Linked DNA regions of Lepisosteus oculatus. The protein of the gene in region 1 interacts with the protein of each later gene in a pairwise test. Links are inferred from orthologs where the notes say so. Each region holds a gene or a part of one and is shown on either strand. Other genes may lie near its edges.

Evidence for each region.
Region 2: the proteins of bend7 (region 1) and lmo3 interact in binary tests that used the Homo sapiens proteins (3 or more experiments, as listed by UniProt). The two-hybrid records come from large-scale screens. The link is inferred for Lepisosteus oculatus from reciprocal best matches to the Homo sapiens genes BEND7 and LMO3.

What each region holds. Positions count from the first base shown.
Region 1 is NC_090702.1:14,198,181-14,207,260, forward strand, and holds the start of bend7 (BEN domain-containing protein 7), read right to left. Parts: upstream 5,181-9,080; 5' UTR 4,885-5,180; coding exon 4,755-4,884; intron 3,609-4,754; coding exon 3,531-3,608; intron 21-3,530; coding exon 1-20. Other genes in the region: prpf18 (pre-mRNA-splicing factor 18), read left to right, coding at 5,815-5,880, 6,282-6,359, 7,568-7,594, 8,998-9,080.
Region 2 is NC_090702.1:24,867,840-24,879,825, reverse strand, and holds the start of lmo3 (LIM domain only protein 3), read left to right. Parts: upstream 1-7,075; 5' UTR 7,076-7,084; coding exon 7,085-7,178; intron 7,179-10,157; exon of another isoform or gene 10,158-10,179; intron 10,180-10,208; exon of another isoform or gene 10,209-10,271; intron 10,272-11,986.

The DNA of each region.
Region 1 (9,080 bases):
GCCTTCGTCACCTAGCCAAGCTAAAGACAATTTGGATGTTAAAGACACTAAGAAATCTCTTGTAATCATTAGCAAGACCCTATTCCTACAGGTGAATGATCTATATAAAGATGTGCGCTATGGAAGTCACTGGCACAACATTTGCGCAACAAAATGTTTACACAGGTTTTCCCATATGATGTGTCTTGCACTTTGTGGACACCTGAAGATAAGATGTGTCTTAGGGAAATAACACCATACTGACAGAGCAGAGACTGACGAATTGCGGGAAGTGCGTAATGGTGCCCATAGTATTTATCTGCTGCCCCTTTCCCGAACATGGATTATGTATCCCTCCGACACCAACACCAAAAACAGTGTTAGATATTGTAAGTGTGGAGTGTGAAGGCTTGCACCACTTGGGGAGAAAGTATTCACATTTTTATAAAACTATAAAATGTTATAATGGTTAATTATACTACAAAACAGGCGGATGCACATGTGTCTTTTAATTTTTTCATACATATATCAACATATATCCATCCACTTTCTAACCGTGTTATTCAGGTCAGGGTGGCCATGGAGCTGGAGTCTATCCAAGCAAACAGCGGGTGCAAGGCAGGATACACCCTGGATGGGACGCCAGTCCATCACAGGGCACAGAGACACGATCATGCACACACTCACACCTGGGCCTGTTTTCCCAGAAGCTAATTAATCTACCAGTATATCTTTGGACTGTGGGAGGAAATCATAGCACCCCAATAACACTCGGTTTCCCCATGCAAACCCACACTGTGAGATCATACAAACTCCACGCAGACAGCACCCCAGGAATTAAATCCAGAGCCTCAGTGCTGCGAGACAGCAATACTAACCAGTACGCCACCTTGCTGCCCTATATTCAGATATATTAACCCCACATTCATTGGTAATACAACATTAATAAGAACACTGGTAATACCGTATGTGTCCAGTAGTGTCTGAAACATACTTAGTTTTTGATCAAATAAAACAATACTGCAAAAAGCCATCTAAAACGTGCCACAAAGCATACTTCTCATACAATATACTGTACATACTTTATATTTAAAGAAAAAGAAGAAATATTTGTGGCAGAAATTAAATTGCCTCCGAAGAAACCTGTCTCTCAGAGCTCTGAAATACCACAATCTGCTGTGTCTTCCAGGCAAAACAGATGGAAATGACTAAAAACGAAAGGGTCATAAGATAAAGCCTGTATGGTATTTTATATTAATTTTCCCCTTTTCATATTTTTTTCCCTTTTCCCTCCCTTTGCTCTATCTGTATAACATGCAGACTATTTTTTTTCTCTGTCAAATCTAGTAAAGTTTGCTTTTCCCCACAAAGTTCTGGAAATTGCTGATGTTTGGGCTCTGGATCATTCATCTTCCTCTCTCCCTTGATAAAACACTTGTTTTGAATGGCAGCTTTTTATGAGCTGGAGCTCAGTGTGTAACACCTGCTTTTCATCAGTGCTACTAGCAATGCCAATTTAGATGTGGTTTATTTCTAAGAAGCTTCTATGAACACCATATGCATATCATTCTCCTCATGAGTGCTCTCCTTCCATGTTATTTGGATATGCAACACATGCTAATGAACCCACTGTCGTAACATTAAGGAGTGTTTATTAAGTGTTCTTTATTTTTTATCTGTTATACTCTTATACTTTTACTGTGGTATATCGTTATGGTGTTATGTGCGCTTCTAAACTTTGGCTAACATGCTATATATTGCAAGAACTGTTATATATTTCCTATATGACTGCAGTAATCAGGATTGAATGGAGGTTTTTACAGTGCCATTTCATATTTTAGCCACCTAAAAATATATTAAATGTCCTCAGCACAAATTAAGCTCAATGAAAAGTGTATTAGAGGCAATGTTTAGAATATAATTATATTGAATAGATAAGCCATACTGTTTGTGATTAAACTATTATTTGAAAAAAATAACATACATTGAACTATCAATTACTGAACATCAGTTATTTATTGGAAAGAACCTTATTCATAGTGACTGAAATAGGTCACAGAGATCGCCTGAGATCGTGAGTGATAGTCCAAAGATGCTTTGGATGACTCAAGTCCACCAAACCCCAACAGAACCAACTACCAATTCGTACCATCCTTTTGGAAATACGTTTGGCAGTTGTCTAATAGCATAACCCTGATTTAATGCAACAGTGTCTGCATTATGGGACATAATCTTAACCTGTTAATTTAATTAGCAACCCATTTCAACTACACCTATTTTCAAGACATTGACTAGCTGCAGTTTGATAATCACACCTTAACAGACTGTTACACCTGTTAAGGTGTGATCCTTCATCAGATAGCTTAATGGCCCTCATCTTAATGCAACCATTAATTCTTCAATCCACCTTAATGCACCTGAAATGTACCCTAATTCTTAAGGTGGCAGCTTTCCTCCCATTTCTCCCATTTGCGTAATATTCAACTTGACCTCTGTCATTTGTTATTCTGTTATTATCATTAACTAGTATAACTACTTCTGTTATTATCATTATTAACTATTTTGCAATTTAATCCAAGGTAATGCAGATGCGAAGCAATTACAGAAGTAGGAAAACATATTGTATTGGCTACACAATTTCTACATGACAGTGAGCAGGACAAAGGCATTGCTGTATGAGAGCTGGTTAGTTACAGTGTTGGAGACTAACTAGATGGGCTAAATTGACTTCTCTGGTTTGCAAAGTTTCTTAGATTCTTCTTGTATATTCAGTGAATATTACTCAATCACTACTAGGATCAGAATGGTTACCCTATATGCTGTTCCATGTGAGCTGACATCTCAAAGTTGAGTTTGGCGAGTTGTAAATTTAGAAATTTCAAAACTTTTCTGGACATAAGCAGCAAAAAGAAAAAAATACAGGCATGTTACTTAGAATATACCTTTTGGTATCCTCACAGCAACCAAATAAACCATAAACCATGAATAGAAGAACACGATGGAAAGAAATGAACATTTCTGGCATGTCCATAAATCTGTGAAATAATAGGATATGGCATTCATATTGTAACATTATTAAAAGCAGTTTTCAATTTTTTCTGTCTCCAAAATTTAAATTTCAGTTATGCTAGAATCCACATCCCAGCACTCTGCTTCAATAGTACTACTGTATGGTTGTTTGACTTTTACTGCAATATACTGTTCTGTCTGTGCTATGCTATGCAGATACAGTACAATTGTCAAATGGAAAAAATTGACTGTATTTTACAATACACATGACCAAACAAAGAAAAAACAATCTATCTTAAAGACACTGTGATAATGCCATGTGACTTGAAATAAATGGGATGTCTGCTAGTAACCATGCTGCAAGACAAAATAAGACAAATCCTGACCAACACACTGAGCTAAAAGTACTCATCACAGAAAAATAATATTACTTATACAGCATAAACTATATATATATATCTTTAGCAAGAGCTGAACGTATCTTCAAGATTAATGTTATCATAATCCTTGCCTGTTTATTCAATAAGAAATAAACAATGTACCTTCAGCCATTTTTGTATCATTTATTTCCCCGTTTGCATCAAGGGTGTTACTGCTTGCAAAGTATTCTGCTTCGTAATCTGGAAAGACAAGGAATATTACCATGGATTACCCACCAAGGTTCAGATGATACAGCAAAATACATCTGAATATTTTATACAAATCATATCATCATTTTGTCAAAGAGGAAGGAAATAATTAATCATAATTGTTTTCAAGAATTAATAGTTCAAGGTTTCCCTCCTTTCTATCCATCTCTTTGACACATACTCTCTAAAAGACAGGCTCTTAGAGGATAACTCTCACTATTAAGCTATTATGCTTTAAATGAGAGCTTCACACAAGACATCACCAACATATTTATATGTATGATGTTTGAAGCATTTACTTCATAAAGTCAGTATCGTTGAAAGAACAAATTTGCCAAATTTTAAAACATTCTTTAAAATGAACCTTGAAACAACTGCTCTTGGAAAATCTAACTCTCATATTACTAATGTAGGAAGAGTATCAAATCCCAGAAAAACGTAAACAATATTCTGTATAATGGGACCTAGGAAATATTTCGCTGTCTGTCTTTACACTGTAGTGAATGTGCACGACTATTTAGCGGAATGAAGACTATTGTAGGCAGGACTGGACCTGCCTGTTTAGTTTCCTGCACACTGCACGCTGTTAGGTTCTACCACCTGTAGGTGGAATATAAAATAGTCTAGTTCTCAGGCTCAAACTTGGCATCAAATCAAACCAAACTAAACTACTACAGATCACGTTAAGCCAATATTGATATTGCTGATATTATTTCATTCTCATGCGCAACAGAATTGTTTAACGCAAATTTTCATAATGAATATACACTCGAACAAATGCACTTTTTATAAATTTGTAATCTAATGACAGAAAATACAAGTTCAGTGATATCCGTCGGTTTGTCAGTGTGCCTTTCAGACTACCTACTCCTCATGAAAACAACCACATATATAATGCATTCTTCGAGCATTAGTTTATTCTTCCGTTGTGTATACCCCATGTGACAAATATATTAAATAATGTCTATGTATACTGTGTTTCTATTGATGGACAATAATCTCCTTTCAACTAAACAAACGTTGCAGGTGCATTCCGTGTTCTTTAACAAGGGTTATTTCATTTTAACCTTTTTGTTTATACAATACCCAAAGGAGCGACTGCAGACGAATCGTGACAAGATAAATTCCCTGCCTTACCTTCTTCGTTAATCAGTTTGAAGCTTTGGGATTTTCTGCTCCTTTTCCTTTCAGAAAACTCCATTATTGGTATCTGTGCGATAAAGACCAGGGAATGAAATCTAAAGCAGAACTCCAGCGTGTAGTACATCAGAATAAACAGCAGGACCGGGGTCCGTCTCTGTAATCAGCAAAAACTCCTGCTCATTACAGTATTTCAGTTCCAACTGCTTAGCCTCGCGTTTATACGCCCTTAATGGTTTTGAAAATTAACCGTGTTAATTACAGCTCTTGAATAAAACATTTTGTACTAGTAATCGATTGATCTTTATTTATTATTTTAGAGCGAATCCGTTTGTATTACAAAAAGATGAATCGGTGTACTTATATTTTCCATATTCCTTTGCGCCACCTGATGGAATTGTTTTGTAGGCTAGATGTTCATCACCTGGTTACCCACACACAGAATGAATGGTTTGAGGCTAAGGCTAGTTGACTTTTTACTGAGGAAATGGGGTAAAGTATCTCAGCCCCTCTCGGTGTCCTTGTTATACGGTCTGTTCACCTTTGTTTAAACTAGTCAAATGGTTAGGAAAGCACAATACTATTATATATATATATTAATCACAATTTTTTTATTTCAAGTCTGTTTCACGAAAAGTTAATAGTAGTAATAGTAATAATACATTTTGAATAATTTAAGAATAGCAGAGATCGATGACTTATAGCACCTTAGTACGATACAATTAATTAATGTCAAATATGCTTCGAACCAGTGCCAGTACCACAATTTATGCATATTTAATCATTAGGTAAAAGCGTATGGGTCATGTGATTGTGTGGACAAGCACTGTTCTCATTAACAATGAGAGAGATCTGCATAAGGGAGGTACCAACACCAATGACCTGTCGAGGTTTTTTATTCCAGAGGTTTCGGCTTCTGGCAGCATCTGTGTATCTTGACACCGCCCCTTGACCTTTCACCGTATAAAAACCGACGGAAGTGTTGGAGAATTGCTTCCTGTTTTGTGTGTTTTTTTTTAACAACACCGAAGGAGTTTGTGTTACATGCTATCACATCATGGATATTTTAAAAGCTGAAATAGCGAGGAAAAGGAAGCTCCTCGAAGAAAAGGAGCTTGTTGGTGTGAGTTACCGGTGTCCAATGGAAAATATTCAATTTTATGATGGTTTAAATGACTTTTTTTTACCGTCTATCACTCGGTGTTACCCGCAACGATAACCTGCTTTATACTTATGGATATTTGTGTGTTTACAAAACGCTGTCTAGTATACCAATATCACAGTAAAGGACTAAGTAACATTAAGAGACCCTTTCCATGGGATTTACTGTTATATCCGAAGCTGTCGACAGCATTTTAATAAGTCTGTAGTATTTAAACACGAAGTTTATTTTTTGCTTGTTTCTGTCCAATTCGAAATGTTAAATCAGTGCATGGACGTCCAGTGGACTGCTACCTTTCATGAGATATTAAACTAAATACTTAAATAATGTTGAGTGCCATAACGTCAACTCTTGTATTGCAGGAGTCAAAGAAATTCTTTAAACGCAGCGAGCTTGCCCGAAAAGAAGAAGAATCCTATTATGAAAGATGTGGTTATAAGGTACAGTGCTGACATATTTATAGATTTGTATTCGGATAGCCTTATACAGGTGTTTCCCTGTGTGAATTTTAGGCGTTAGATCGGGCCAGAACAGTTGCACATGCTGTGAGTGAGCACAGTTAATTGGCAACTTAGGCACTAGGATGTAAGTCGGAAACTGGGTTCATTTAAACGCAAAACCGCAGAGAGACTCTCTGTGAATAAGTAGAAAACCAAAGTGCAACTACTCCTCTCTATCTTGGAGTCAAGAGCAGCACAGCTAAATGGTAGCAGGACTTTATTTTGTACAGTGACCTTTTATCTTATGCAAGGAGATCATACTTTATGAATAATATTTTCTTCACATTCTGAAATTCCATGGAAAAATAAGATAAAATACAGTATATGACAAACCATACAAGTTTAATCATTTATTCCTTAGGGAAATATTCCTTCAAATCAGTGGACTTCATTATTTGCCAAATACATGCACTCTAAAAAATGGCCAAAACAAACAAGGATTGGAGGTCTAGTGTACAGCTATACAGTCTTTAGATTAGGGAGAAATGTGTTTATAGTGACAATCTCAGGAAGATTGATTCAGTCCGGGTCATATTCTTTGTGTGGTAAATTGCCAAAGTTTTGAAAAACTGCCTGTCTGTCGTCTTTGCACTTCATGAGATCTCAGGTGTGGATGGATGGTCACTGACCTAGAGGATCTAAATACATTTGGCTTAGGTTGTATGACACCTGATGCTTTTAGTGAATCACCCTTAGGTTCCAACATACCGGCTTCTGTTTATCGGATTTTAGATCTCTTTTAAAGTACAGACTTGTTATTCTTTTCTTTTGGACATTAATGATGTCTGTGTACATTTGCTTCTCTTTAGCTTGTCTTGATCTGTACAATCACAGTGTTAACCCAGAATATCAATTAAATGTAAAATGATCAAATCCGTACTTTATTTTCAAATTCCAACAGTTATCCAGTAGTTATGCATGGTGTATGTTTGCAAACCAGAACTTTTTTTGGCCTATCAGCTCGTTACAGCTTTTTTTCTGATTCCAATCATGTGTTTATATGTATATTAGAATATTTTGCACATATGAATACAGTGCTTTCTATAAAGGTTCTCTGGCTTTCTTAGTGATTTTTTTGGCTTGTTCTTCAGACCCTGTCTTTATAACATCTAATGCTGCTCTTCCATCCTGTCTGCATTGCACTGTAGGTTGTTAATGAGAAGCCAGCAGGAAAGGTATGGGATTAAAGAGGGCAAAGATTTGTCCCTGCTGTAGAGCAAAATTGGGCATGCTGAAACACATTGATTTTTTTTTCTTGCATTTTCTTTTGCTTACAGCATGAACTAGCAAACTGTGAAATTGTTTTGAGCAGAAGAAAATAAGTCTTGGCTGCACCAGTTTGAAACTAAAAAATTCATAGGGTGGAACTAACTTCAGTTATTCTGGACAGTTTAATATTCACAGTTTAAGATATTTTAAACTCACCCTTTTGTTTTAGATATGGATCACAAATATTAGTGACCTTTTATAAAAAAAAAATCTTAGCTCCAAGTAAAAAATTCCCCCTTTCAATAATAGTCTGTTGCTTTTTAGCAGATATTGCGGTGCTTCTGAGAGATCCCTTAAATTGCCTGTTATCTTTTTTTACAACTACCTCTTTTTGTACTGCTAGCTGTAATTGGGAAAAGTGCATGTGCTTCTGAAAGCATGATTCAAATTGAATTATTTAAAAAAATACACTTATGTATTTTTTAAAATAATGGAGTACTAGTGAACAAGCATTGAAAACACTTTCCTTGTTTTCTGCATCTGTTCAGGAAAAATAAAGAGTGTCTTGTAGCATGGTGGTTTCCTTTTTTCAAGGCAGCCGGAGTTGTTTGCTTAACTGTCCTTTTTAAAGTATTAATTTGCACCATTAATAAGTACTTTATTTGCAGAGTATAGGCAAGTGTCACTATGAGAAGCGGGGATAGTAACATTGTGGGAGCAAGAATCTAAAGACTTACAAAAGAACCTGTAAAGTGTCACCTTACTAATTCGTGTTACAGTACATGTTTAGTTTATATTTGTCATGAATGATTAACTTAACGTCACGTTGGTTTATTAAATAGCTGTTGAGAGGTGTTGCATGCAATTTAATTATATGTTTAAGACAAGTTCTGTGTTCTGGAACCCAGTGCTATACTCCGGATCATCTAACTGAGGATCAGTGCTTTCCCTAATTGACCCAGTTTTTTCTCTGTTTTTAGAATCTTGATAGATTCCCATGCAAGTATTGTCTCAAATTAATTTCTGTTGTGCAGTGTTGAAATACTTTTCAAGTAGATGGCGTTGTTCAGTGCGTTTTTTAAAATATTAAAGCACCTTTGTTCTCTTTTTTTTCTGAAGTAGTGAGGTGTTATATATATTAAGTGTTTATAAGAAGCATCAACATAAAATATTGAGGCTATTTAATGTTGTAAGCAGTCGACTTGTTAGTATGTATTTTGTATGCATTATCAATGTCAGTGGCCCTTTGGAAAGGAAAGTTATTTAATTAAATATATTACAAAATAAAAAGTAACAAATTGCTCATATAATCTTTACATTTACAGTATCTTGTTAAGCATGGGATCTTCAATTTGGTTTTAATTTAAAGTTGCAGCGAAAAGAAGATGAGCCTGAACCATCGACCTCCTCCAATCCTGTATTGGAACTTGAACTAACTGAAGAGAAGCTGCC
Region 2 (11,986 bases), about 11 Mb from region 1:
GAACGAGACATAAAGTAGTGTAGTACCTTCCTGGCTGGTACTGGCATTACGATGCCTAATGCCACAAGTCCAAACAGAGCACTAATTAGCACAGAGTGATGTCACCCTAGGCATAGGAATAATCCCATCATTTAATTATCAGAATGATTTAAACAAAGATTTGCATAGATGCACTAATCAGTAGCAATGAATTACAGAGCGTCTCTTGCCAATGAGAGGTAGCAGATCATAGAGTTGGAAGGGAAAAAAAAACTCATCTCCTTGAACATAATTAATTTAATTGTCCTCATTAGCTGTACCATTTGTTTTGATTTTATTTCTGTCTTTCTCTCTCTCTCACTTGCTGTCCCTCTCCACATCCATACACCCTCGCTGTCTCTCTCTCTCCCTCCTTCTCTCAACTCCCCGCATATTGGCTGACAGAGGTAGTAGTGTGCCGTATGTGAAGCTGTTGTGCAGAGGTAGAGTAGGAAGAGCAAAACGGCGACTGAGTATGAGGATATAACAACAAGATAAAAAGCCAACAAAAAAAAAAAAACAACAACAACAACAACAACAACAACAACAAGTTTATCAGCCACACGATTCGAAGCGGAAAAAGAAAGCCGGAGCCAAAGCTACTTTTGTCAAACTGTTCAATAGGAGCGTCTCATTAATCTGCCCTTCCCTGCCTGCCTTGGGTTCTGGAGTCGCTGGCTGTGGAGGTTAGTGCCTGAGTGCTGCTTGTTTTCTTCCCCGCTCCCTGACGTTTGACTTTGCACACTGCAGAGTTTGCTTTTCAGTTTGGGAGTTGCATGTGGTTGGACAAGCAGGTACCAGTAAGATCAAATTAAAAGACAAAAATACACACAGAAGAGAAAACAATATAGAGGAGTGATTTCACCTTTTTTTTCCCCTCTTTTCCAATAACGAACAAGTGCTTCTAAAAAACGTCACGGATATCTTTGAATTCTGTATCTTAACCGATGTGCCTTAAAATAAAGTCTTAAAGAATCCGCCTGATTCATTTGTCTAAGTGAGTTGTGACCTCAAAATATTAATTACTACGAAAGGCACGGCATTAATGCATGTAGCATCCAAACCAATGTAAGGGGCATATTTGTTTACAAATGAAATCTATGGAAAATCTGAATGTTCTTTTCTGAGTCGTTTTAGCTTTAATTGGTTGTCCTGAGAAGTGGTAAGCAGAGGTGAGGGGGGACTAAATATCTCGCCTAGTGGATAGTAGTCAACCTGAAAGTTCAACTGAATTTTGCAAGTAAAAGGCAATGTACTGCATGTCAGTTGCAGGTTTCTTCTACGGCAGAGATGTCCAGTCCTGATCCTGGAGGGCCTGTGTGTGTGTGTGGGGGGGGGGGGTTCATTCTTACTCAGATCGTAATGAGCAAAACCAGCTGATTATTGGCTTAACTGGACTAATGTAGTAGTTTCTTCCAGCTCTTCAGGGGCTGCTGCTTTAAAGTGACCTTCAAAACATGCAGAAATAGCGAATACTTAGGACCAGGATTGGTCAACCCTGTTCTAAAGTGTTTCTCACAAAATTAAATTGTGTCAAAGTTTGCAATGAGTCTTCTGTACAATGTGCACTACACACTTTTATCTGCTCAGACAAGACATGTTGTTTCTGTTTATTGATCTTTGTATCTAAATTTCATACATTGATCACACTTGCAAATTGCAATCAGTGAGGCCATAGAACAGATTTATTAAATGACATTTCTAACCAGAATAAGAGATACAAAAATACTGTGAAAAAATATTTGTAATATTTCCAAGTAACTTTATTTAAAGCCTTTTCACTTGAAAAATATGTACTGTATACTATCTTCTTTTAGGTCACTAAAAAGCAAACTGTTATTAGCGCAAATCTCTTACAAATTAATCTCTATATACTGTATACATTAGTTCAAATGTTACAAATACTGTTCTAGTACTTATTTTCTGTTTTTTCTGTATAAAAATACAATCTTTTATTCTAGTGCTCTTGAAGAGAAGATAAATTTGCAGAACCTGTTTTTAAATATTGTATTAGTTCATGCCTCTGTGAAAAGCAAGAGCAATCAACCTGATAAAAATGTCACTCAAGAAAATGGTAAAAAACTAACACCAAAAAATCCTTGTTATCATCACACTTTAAGGACTGTTCAATACAATCTGTGCAACTACCACTCACAAAAACATTAAAACCTTGCCATACCATTGTATCCCATTATTACAGATTTCATATGCTTAAAGAAAGTCAGACAGCTGAACAGACAGATGTAGTTTGACACTGAAAATTATGAATGCCTTCTACATTTTCACAGTTTTTGAACTGCTTGAAAATACAATAGTAATATAAAATGTAATTTTACACATCCAGGTGTTTATTTAAAATGTGTCAAAAGAAGATTCTGTATTATACTGAAGCTTACAAACCACTGTAGTTATATTAAAGACAGCTTACATTTCAAACCAAATAAAGTGACAAAAATCAATTAACTAAGTCCTAAAATGTAAGCATAAAGTTTCTCTGAAGGGTACTGCTTTATTTTCAGATATTTTCTCTTTACTAAATTATAAATTAATTGAGACTCAATTAAAATAACTGATCTTCAGAGAGACTTAAAAAAGTATTAATAATAAATCTAACATTTTAAAAGAATGCAGCTAATTAGTGTTGTTTTGAGTCATAGCCTTTAATGACAAATTATGGTATTCTTGTACTTTTGAGAGGCACGTTAATAACAACTCAAAATAGGATGAAGTAATCAAGTATCTTCTCTGTTTTCATCTATTGATATCAAGATTGCCTTGATAGATTGTAAGATCTTCAGAGAAAAAGAAACTCAGTGTCAGATGTGAAATCTGTGGAAATTACATGCACAAAGCTAAAAATCAGTGTCTTCTTCACTGATCTTTCACGTGAAAACCTTCAAAAGTCCTTAAGAATTAACAGAACACTGCACATAACTGATTCATTAACTGAGTCATCCCTCCATCATGGTAAAGATATATTCATCGTTTTTTTTTTTCTATAAATTAGCTTTATTCAGCGTTCTACTTAAGGTATTTTATGACCATTTAAAATGATTTCTACAATTCCGATTTTAATTGCCAAATGTCAAAGCCCTTACCCCAGCTTTGCATGAAAAACAACTGCCTAACAAAGTAAAAAGATATGTCGCGAATAACACAGGTCCCTCTGTGGACTTTATAGTTCTATGTAGATTTAGAGTTTGCATGCGTCCAAGTTTTACAAGTAGGAGGTTATTTGTTAACTTCATACCTAAACCAAAGCGACACGATGGCTTCCCGGTTTTCGCAGTTCCTCTCTCGCTACTTCAGGCACCTGGGCTTCCTTCCAGACTAGGCCCCTTCTGTATGGAGTCTGTATGTTCCGCCCGTGTTTTTTTGAGTGTTTCGAGAAGGGGAAATTAAGATAGTCCTTCAAACGTTTTACAGGTAATGGAGATATTGGTATGTGAATTTAATGGATGGCATTTACGTAAAAAGGCTTTAATTTTCCTCCCAAACTATTTTTTTAATGATTTTGTACAGTATATACAGAATGCAGGACTGAACATAGAGGTCGCTTATAGGAAAACTGCAGCGTGATTAAAAAAATAAAAATATTTAATGACATACAAACATGCAATGCTAATGTTAGGAGCTAATGCGTATCTTTATTGCCCTCTACGGTTACAATCCCATTTTTTTTTATAAATGGAATAAAGAGGGGAAAAAGTAGAAAAGTTTTTCTATTTAACTTACTCATAATAACTCAATGCTCCAAAGGAGAAGGCCATGTGGTAGGGGAAACTATCGGCGTCAGTTCCTTGTAAAGATGCTGCCTCTGAAAACTGCATCCCTAGAAAGGCGGTTTGCTCCGTATTACTTGCTATTGTTTGACCAGTTTGCGCAGCAGTATGTCTTCTTCCCCACTATTGCTTCCTTTCTAAGCGTTCTGTCTTGTTTTCGGATTATCTGTAAGCACACGGTAATGTCTCCACGACGTGAGAAATTGCTGCTTCACTGCGGTGCTAGCAGAGAACTGTACATCGCTGGCTTAGTGTATTTGATACGTGTTGGCACGTGTGTGGCTGTGTGTGCGCGCTCTGGTTCCTCGGTCTTGCAGCAATAACTGAATGACCTTTTCTTGCTGTGTTATGTCTCGCTGGTGAGGGATTGGACTCGTAGGTGATAAAGCTAGGGTTCTCTGTGCTCCATCCCTCAGTCACTGATGGGTAAGTTGTTCTGAGCCCCTCAGTATACTACACGGGAGCTCAGCGGCGGATGTAAAGAGAACACCTGTAGCTCTGTTGCCTAACACTGCAATTAACTGCTTGCGGATCCATGCGGACCTCATTATTTTAAACTTAAAGATCTCAGATACGTCTCGGGCAATGCTTGCTTTATGAACTTTAGCTCTGAAGGGAGAAAGGTTGAAACTGCGCTACTGTGCCTGTTTTTAACTGAGTCCTTTTGCATTACTTGGCGAAGAAGGTGAGTAAAGTGCAGCTGCACAAAATGGATTGACGTGTACCGTAGTTCAGTACAAGTATGTTAGAACATTTTGAGACCCTCTTTTTTAAATATAGGGTGCCTGTGGAAGTTATGCATGCTTAATACAGAAATGATATTTAACTTAATTCATTGGGTTAAGGTGGAAAAAAGGCACCCATTCACTTTTTTAACAAAAACACTTTAAACGCGTGCCTTCACCAATGATGTTGTGTTAGCGCTGTGCATTTTAAAACCTTATTTGTGGATTTAGTGAAGTTTTGTGTATAAATAGATTATTTTCTTTATAGAAAGGAACACTTGTTGGATTTGCAACCACGCATTTACTGTACCAGGGTTTGCGTTACTCATTTGAAGTGCCTTTTCTAAGCAGAAACATACTGTAAATGCCGTGATGTAGATGAAAACATCACGATTGTAGATGGAAACTAGAATATGCTGAAACTTTGCTCTATGTGTAGAATAATTCAAGAATAAGGTAAGAGGTAAAGAACAGTAAGGAGCTGTTAACTAACAATCGAAAGTTTTTAAACAGTTTAAACATTGGTTTCAAACCCTCTCGGAAAACGCTTTGAATACGAACATTTTAGATATGACTCATGCCACTTAAAATCATGTTTTAAAAATAATAGCTTGTTTTATAATGTATAAAATGTCCCCATATCCCACCGTTACTGTCAGCAGCATCATTTAACGAGGACAATTGTTGATGATGTTCTTTATGCAATTCGTTACGGCTTTTATCTCCGTGTTTTAATTTACACGATGTTTACAATCCGCGTTACCCACTGTGGATAGGGTATACTGAAGTGGATATGAATGAGAGACAGTTCACGTACACACTGATATTTAGGATATGTTCCAAGTAAATACCCGGATAAAGGGAAAGAGATTTGCAGGATGAAAAGACGTTTTGTTTAAGGTATAATTGTTTTAGGCTTTAAAACTGCGCTAAACAAAAACATATATCGCATATCTCAGTTCTACGCAGTGCACTTGTCTGTGTCCAGTTGGGTTAACGGCGCTAAAGATACTTTCGCCGGTGTGCATCAGGCGTTAACTTTCCACCTGCAACAGACAAGGAAACGTCGGTTTAAAACTACAATGTGTTTTGTTGATATTATGTGCTAAGGCTGTTGATTGAAGCCATTCCGTGGTATTTGATTAAATTCATTATACAAGGCACTGAAACTGGCTAACATTCGCAAGTAAAGCATGAGGGGATTATAAGATTACGGCGCCGTTAAAGGGGTAAGCATGTGCTTTTGTCATCCGCTGTCATTTGCTCACTACCACTCGTATAGCAGCGGCTGCAAGACTTCCTTTTCATAATCGAGTATTGATGTGACAAACGTTGGCTACGTTTAGCAGGCGATAGTGGATAGCAGGTCTTTCCTTATTTTCCTGTTTATTTTATTTTTTGTCTGGAGCGAGGGTCTCACTTTGAACAATAGCAAGCCACCCTCAGCGTGCAAGCATACAGCTGCTCAGTTCATCCAAAGAAACGAAGCGTTTTTTTTGTCTCTCGAGTTGCATGGTGGTTGGGGTGCTGAAGTCAAATGCAGAAAAGGGAGAAAAGTTTCGGTAAGGATTTTTCGCTGTGCTGTGACTTATTCTTTTTCTTTAGCTTTCTGAGTGTTCACCTTGTCTTGTTTTATTTTAGGAACGTGTGTTGTGTAGGAATCGATGGTGTGAGCAGACCCGTGATCTGAAGTATTCCATAGCTTTGGGATGAGGGGTGTTTTTTCCGTTTATCTTCAATATTGTTCTCGGAGGCTTTAATTGCTTTCAAGAACGTTGGCTGGTGCCAATTATTCTGGCAGGTTTAATGGATAGCTTCAAAATGTTCCCGCTGAATGCTGTAGATAAAGAGGACGTTTAGCACCAAAGACTAAGCACATTAACTCAGAAAGTGATTTTTTTGGTCTTGTTTTGTTGTGCATGCAAGCTGCATCGAAAATTGGGTTCGCTGTTGCAAATCTCTTATTGGCCTTTGCCAAGCACTAGCACTTTGCTACCATGGCAACTGTAATTAAACTGATAAGAGTGGAAAAATGTCAGTATCGCCGAGTCTTGCAGCTGCAAAGGGGAGAAAAGGAGAATCAAATCGGGTCTCAGCTCCATGGCATGCAGTCGTCACGTAGTTTATATATATATTCCGTAAAATGGTATGAGCTCAATTTATAAGGGTTCGGACATCTATTTGTATGAGGTACCCTGAGGGAGTTTGAGTAACATCGGAAAACAGGCAAGGGAGTTCACAGAGAACCTGCGGGGTTGCTCTGGGCGAACGCACAGGGAAAGAAAAAAAATCTTTTAGGCCCAATCCAGCTTTATTTTCCTAAATCTTTTGTTCACTGTTGCTTGGCAATTGGAAAATCGAAGTGGCGAAATTCCTTTCATCTGGATCACTAGACTCCTGGCAGCCTGTTTTCTTAATTTAATAATGAACGAAATTTAGAAAAAGAAAGCTTCTGATTTTTAAGGCAGTGGTTCAGCGCATTATACAAGCTGTCCCAACGCGTCTAAATCTGATTGCAGGCTGAGAAGAGTTGAAACTCTTACTACTTTTCGTTTGTTAATGAGTTGCGGTTACTTTGTTGTGTTAACCAGTGAAGCTGAGACTGCGCGGATGAGTGCCACAGAACAAGGATGCATAATGGAAGCAATCAACCGTACGTGTTTCTTACAATACAATCCAGCCAATTAAAAGCTCACCAGTTTAAATGAAATGAAATAAAATGGGTGTCTGCTCATTACTGCAAACAGAATGACCCTTCAAGCTATTTTATGTATGCCCTAGCTGCTTTTTTCTATTAAATAAAGGGTCTATATAAGATTTCTATCAAATACTGAATTACGGCCACGTTAAAAAAAATGCATTGTTCCAAGGCTGTTAAAACGAGTTTTCAGGACTTTGAAATAACCTCTCGGAAAGGTTGTACTGTCTTTAAACATGATTCTGGACTGTTCTATTTTTTTCCACAAAGATTGCAGCTTCTGTAAAAATGTTTTTCTGCTAAGCAGGATATTAATACAAATATTCCTTTTTTAACATTCAGTTTATCATTTATTAATGCAGCCCAAGACTGTTAACGCACACATACAACTTTCCATGCGTTAGTACTGTATATTGCTGTTAAAAAGTCAAAATCTTTGTGACCGTTGATATTTATGTCTTGTGTTGAGCGTAAAGCGAATAATGGATTCCAGCATAGGTCAATGAAGTTCGCTGTTTAGGTCGGTTACATATTTTCCGTTAGTGGTTACTTGGGAAATAAATGTGTGGTACAGTATATGCTGTATGATTTTCCATACAGTCCTTGTAATGTCCATAGTAAGAAAGTATTAAGCGACCCGTACACATGCCGTTTGAAAAGCGTTGCAGACAACGTTGGCTAGTGTGTTTTAATAATGTGTTAATCGAAGAGATAAAAATAAAACACAATCCACAATATTCAAATGAGAACTCTCCACAGTGAAGCATAAGCCCCTTGTGCCTGGTAAGATACATGTTTCAGTTTTTTATGCAGTGCTTATCCTTCACCGGCCTGAACAGTTAACTGTTCCCTGTCATATATTCCCTTTTCCTCATATATACCACTTGCTCTTAAAATAATTAACAAACAAGAGGAAACTGACTAATTCTGTAGTTTTCCCCCCTTTTATGTTATGAGTGATTCATTATTTTACAGAACTGAGATATTTAAAACAAATCCACATGCAGTAATAGCCTGTTATCCCATTACAGACAGTAGAACCAGAGTTTTCACTGTGGTCATGTTAGTTGACTATTTAAAGATTAAACGTAGCCTTTTTCTGTCTTTGACCATATGCTGTTTTCAAGGCATAGCTGATACTGTAATTCTGTCTCAAACTGCATGTAAGAAGACCCATCAATTTAAGAATGCAATCCTTCCCTTTTCGGTTTTCATAATACTAACTCAATAATTTATAATAAGTTATAGTTCTTGATGATGTAAAAACAAATATAATACAGACACCACATGTGTTCCACATGAAGTCCAACAGTCAGGAAATTAATCAAATAAGCAAGCAAAGAAGCAATCTGTAATTTAAAGGGCACAATGGGAGGTAATCGAGTATAAAATGAATAATGGATTCAGTTATAGGTCAGTAAAGGCCTGTATTGCTGGTGTTGTGTACATTTGCAGTTAAGCCTATGGTTTAGCAGTTTCTGTCAATATCGCACTTTACTCAATCACATTCATTTTCATGTTAAAGAAACAGAGTTGTGTTTGTGCAACACCAAATTAGTATCACACTACATAATTGTGTTGTTGTGGCAGCAATACTGTAAAATAAACAATAACTAAATGTTACATTCTGCTAATTGTGTATGATACACAAATGCTGCTCTGTGATATTACAATTAAATTTTAGTAGTACTGATGTACTGTACAGTGTATAAATCTCTTATTTGCTATTTTGGGACGGATCTTTCAGTGTTTGGATGTATTCAGTTCCAAATGTCCAATAACTTTCAGAATGATTAAGTTAGACACAGTATTATGAAACTTTATTGGTTCTTAACACATGTTCATGGTGGTGGAACTAAAAATGTTTTCATGCAGTTATTCCCTTTTTTTCTTTAGTTTATAAACCAGATCTGGAGACATGCTGTTTTAAGTGTACACGATTCTTCAAACAGGATGCACTGGATTCTGAATTCTTGCACCTCTCCTTAAATATTGGGCACTCATGATTAATTTGGGATTTGGGATTGGGTCACTTTTAAACTACTAAATATCAGTTTGGTGCGTAGTGCACGTTTACAACAGTATTGCTATTTTTTGTTATTTGATTTTAATCTTAACACACTGTAGAACACAAACCTGAATCTAATGTAATCCTTTTACAGTTTTTCTTAGTTTTGTTTTCTTGTTACTTAACTATAATGTTATATTAAGGTTCTTGATTGCCATTTCATACACAGTCCTCTAAAATGTAGCTGTTGTGCAGACTAGTTAATAGCCCCATACCTCCTGGAGTTGAAAATGGCCACAATGGAATGTAAGAACTTTGCAGGGCATTTGCAGAATTGTGAATACTGTTGCAAATGAGCACATTACCAGCTAAAACTGAATTTGCTGTGCTTTGATCTTTAACAGTTTTCAGTATATCTTTCGAGATGTTTTCTGCTTTATCACTGTCGTAATTTCATAATCAGGGTTACCATATATGAAAAACAATCTAGGATAATAAGTCCAAAGAGCTACAGAGAAAAATAACGTTTTCGAAGTCACCTATTTTTAATGTATCTGGAGGTTTTTTTTTTCTCTGTCAAATTCTAAGTAAACAAGTTTTTACTTCAGTCAGTGTCCCCAATCGTTTTGCAATCAAACAGTGCAGGTTCCTATATACAGAATGAGTGCCTGCAGAGTTGGAATTGTTTATGTTAGGAAGTCCTGCAAAAATTCATTTAACATTACTGAGCTACGGCTCACTAAAATGTATCTTCAGATTCAAAAGAAGACAAAACACAAATGATGGTGTGTAGGAGTTGTATACTCCCTAAGCATGGCTGGAGCATACTAATTACTCTGTCCAGGAGTCCACATTGTTACCTCAATATAGCTCTTTCATATCACTCTTGGGTTAGTGGATACACATGATGGTGACTGCGGAATCTTTTCAGCCTTCTCCCAGTGGAAGGTAAAATTGAGGATTTTTAGTTGCGAAAGACAGCTTTGATTGTAATAATCAATGATGTAGGAAAAAGAAGACTAGATATCACTAGTATAAAGGTAAGAAAATCAATAGTGATGTTGATTTTGTTTTTGCATTTTTATGCAGTTAATGAAGATAAAAGTTACGGAATAGGATTTAGAATCTATCTTCACAGCAGATATGTGTAATTGTTTTAAACTTCAGATGCATAGAATAGTGAGTTCTACACTTTTTTAAAAACAGTTTATTTGAATTACCCATATAGCAAAGTTCAAGTCCCAATATAGTAAGAGGATATTCACATTTTAATTTGCTGATTATTCATTTGTTTTCTCACACTAGAGAGATAGAGCTAGAATGCCCTGTAATGCAAACAGTTCCTTGGGCTTATATGCAACCTGTTTTCATCACACATACTGTATGTGAAGTTGCTTATTTTCATCACATCTGTTCAAGGTGTGCCATGATTAATTTTAACATGTTTTTGTCTTTTCAGATAATATTATATTTCAATGACTAAAAGAAAGTTTGAAGCTACTTTATTTTCAAAGACCGAGGCTAAGTTGCTTTATGTATGTTTTTTTTTCCCCCAAACCAGATTAGTACCATTTGAGAGTAAAAATGTTATTGCAGTCATCTGCGAATGTTCACTGAACTGCTTGGATCATGGGGCATTCTTTTCAAATGATTTCAGAAGTTTTGCAAATACTGTACATTGGTTCACTACGATATTAATTGCCATATTTGCTAAATCTAAATGAATCATATTACTATTCTTTTCTTTCCATCCTTAGGCAGCCACATATATCTAAAAAAGCCAATTTGTATAAAATAATTTCCTGTCTTGGCAAATTTCTTACACTCTTTCTAACTAACGTACAGTATAGCACAGATTTTATGTGATTTGCAGAGGTTTCATCCGTTTTAGTTGTCCTTTAACCATTTTCCGCTTTACCTCATACAGTGCAACTATACTGCCAAATGATAGACACTGACTATCCCTTATTTTCTGCAATATACAGTATAATGCTTTTTTCAAAATGTTTCTAAAGGTTTCATGTATGTATAAAAATAAAATGTTGTTGTAATTGTTACATGCAGTAGGCAATCATTTTCAGGATGTAACAAAGTGATTTTGTTTACTTAAATATTTAATTTAAATATCAACTAACCTTAAAGAAACGACCACACTGACATTATGACTAAAATTCACCTTTAAATTCTACAGTAGCTTTTAACTTTTTTTGTTTCATTGAACTTCATCTGCAGTTAACTGCAGCGCATGCATTGAGTAAACGTAGACTGAAGGAAATTTTCATTTTACAAATAGGGCTTTTAATAATGAAAGTAGCCTGTAATTATATTTCACTTAGAAACGTAGCTGCTGCATACATTTAAGGTGAAATGGTTTTCATTGGTTGAAGCGTGCCTGAGCAAATCAAACTGAATGAAAATTAGGAATTAAGCTGTATTAAATTTGTCTTTGATGCTTGTATGAATCCACTTTGAGAAAGCCAACTGATAGTATTTTGGAATAAGACACTCCATGAGTCTGCAGCTGATGGAAAGCAGTGATATGTTCATAAGATATTATGTGCTTGTAAAAGTGCACAACATGAATGCACACAAAAGTCACTTCAAAGACTTTTTGTGCAGTGTACTCACTCCTATTAAAATAAGGACAGTTTTATAATGAACTGCAGGTAGTCAGGAGCTAAAAGCAGTGGTGCTTTTACAACTATTTTACAATTTTGAGCTTTCTCAAAGAAAACAGTATAATGCTCCAAATTGG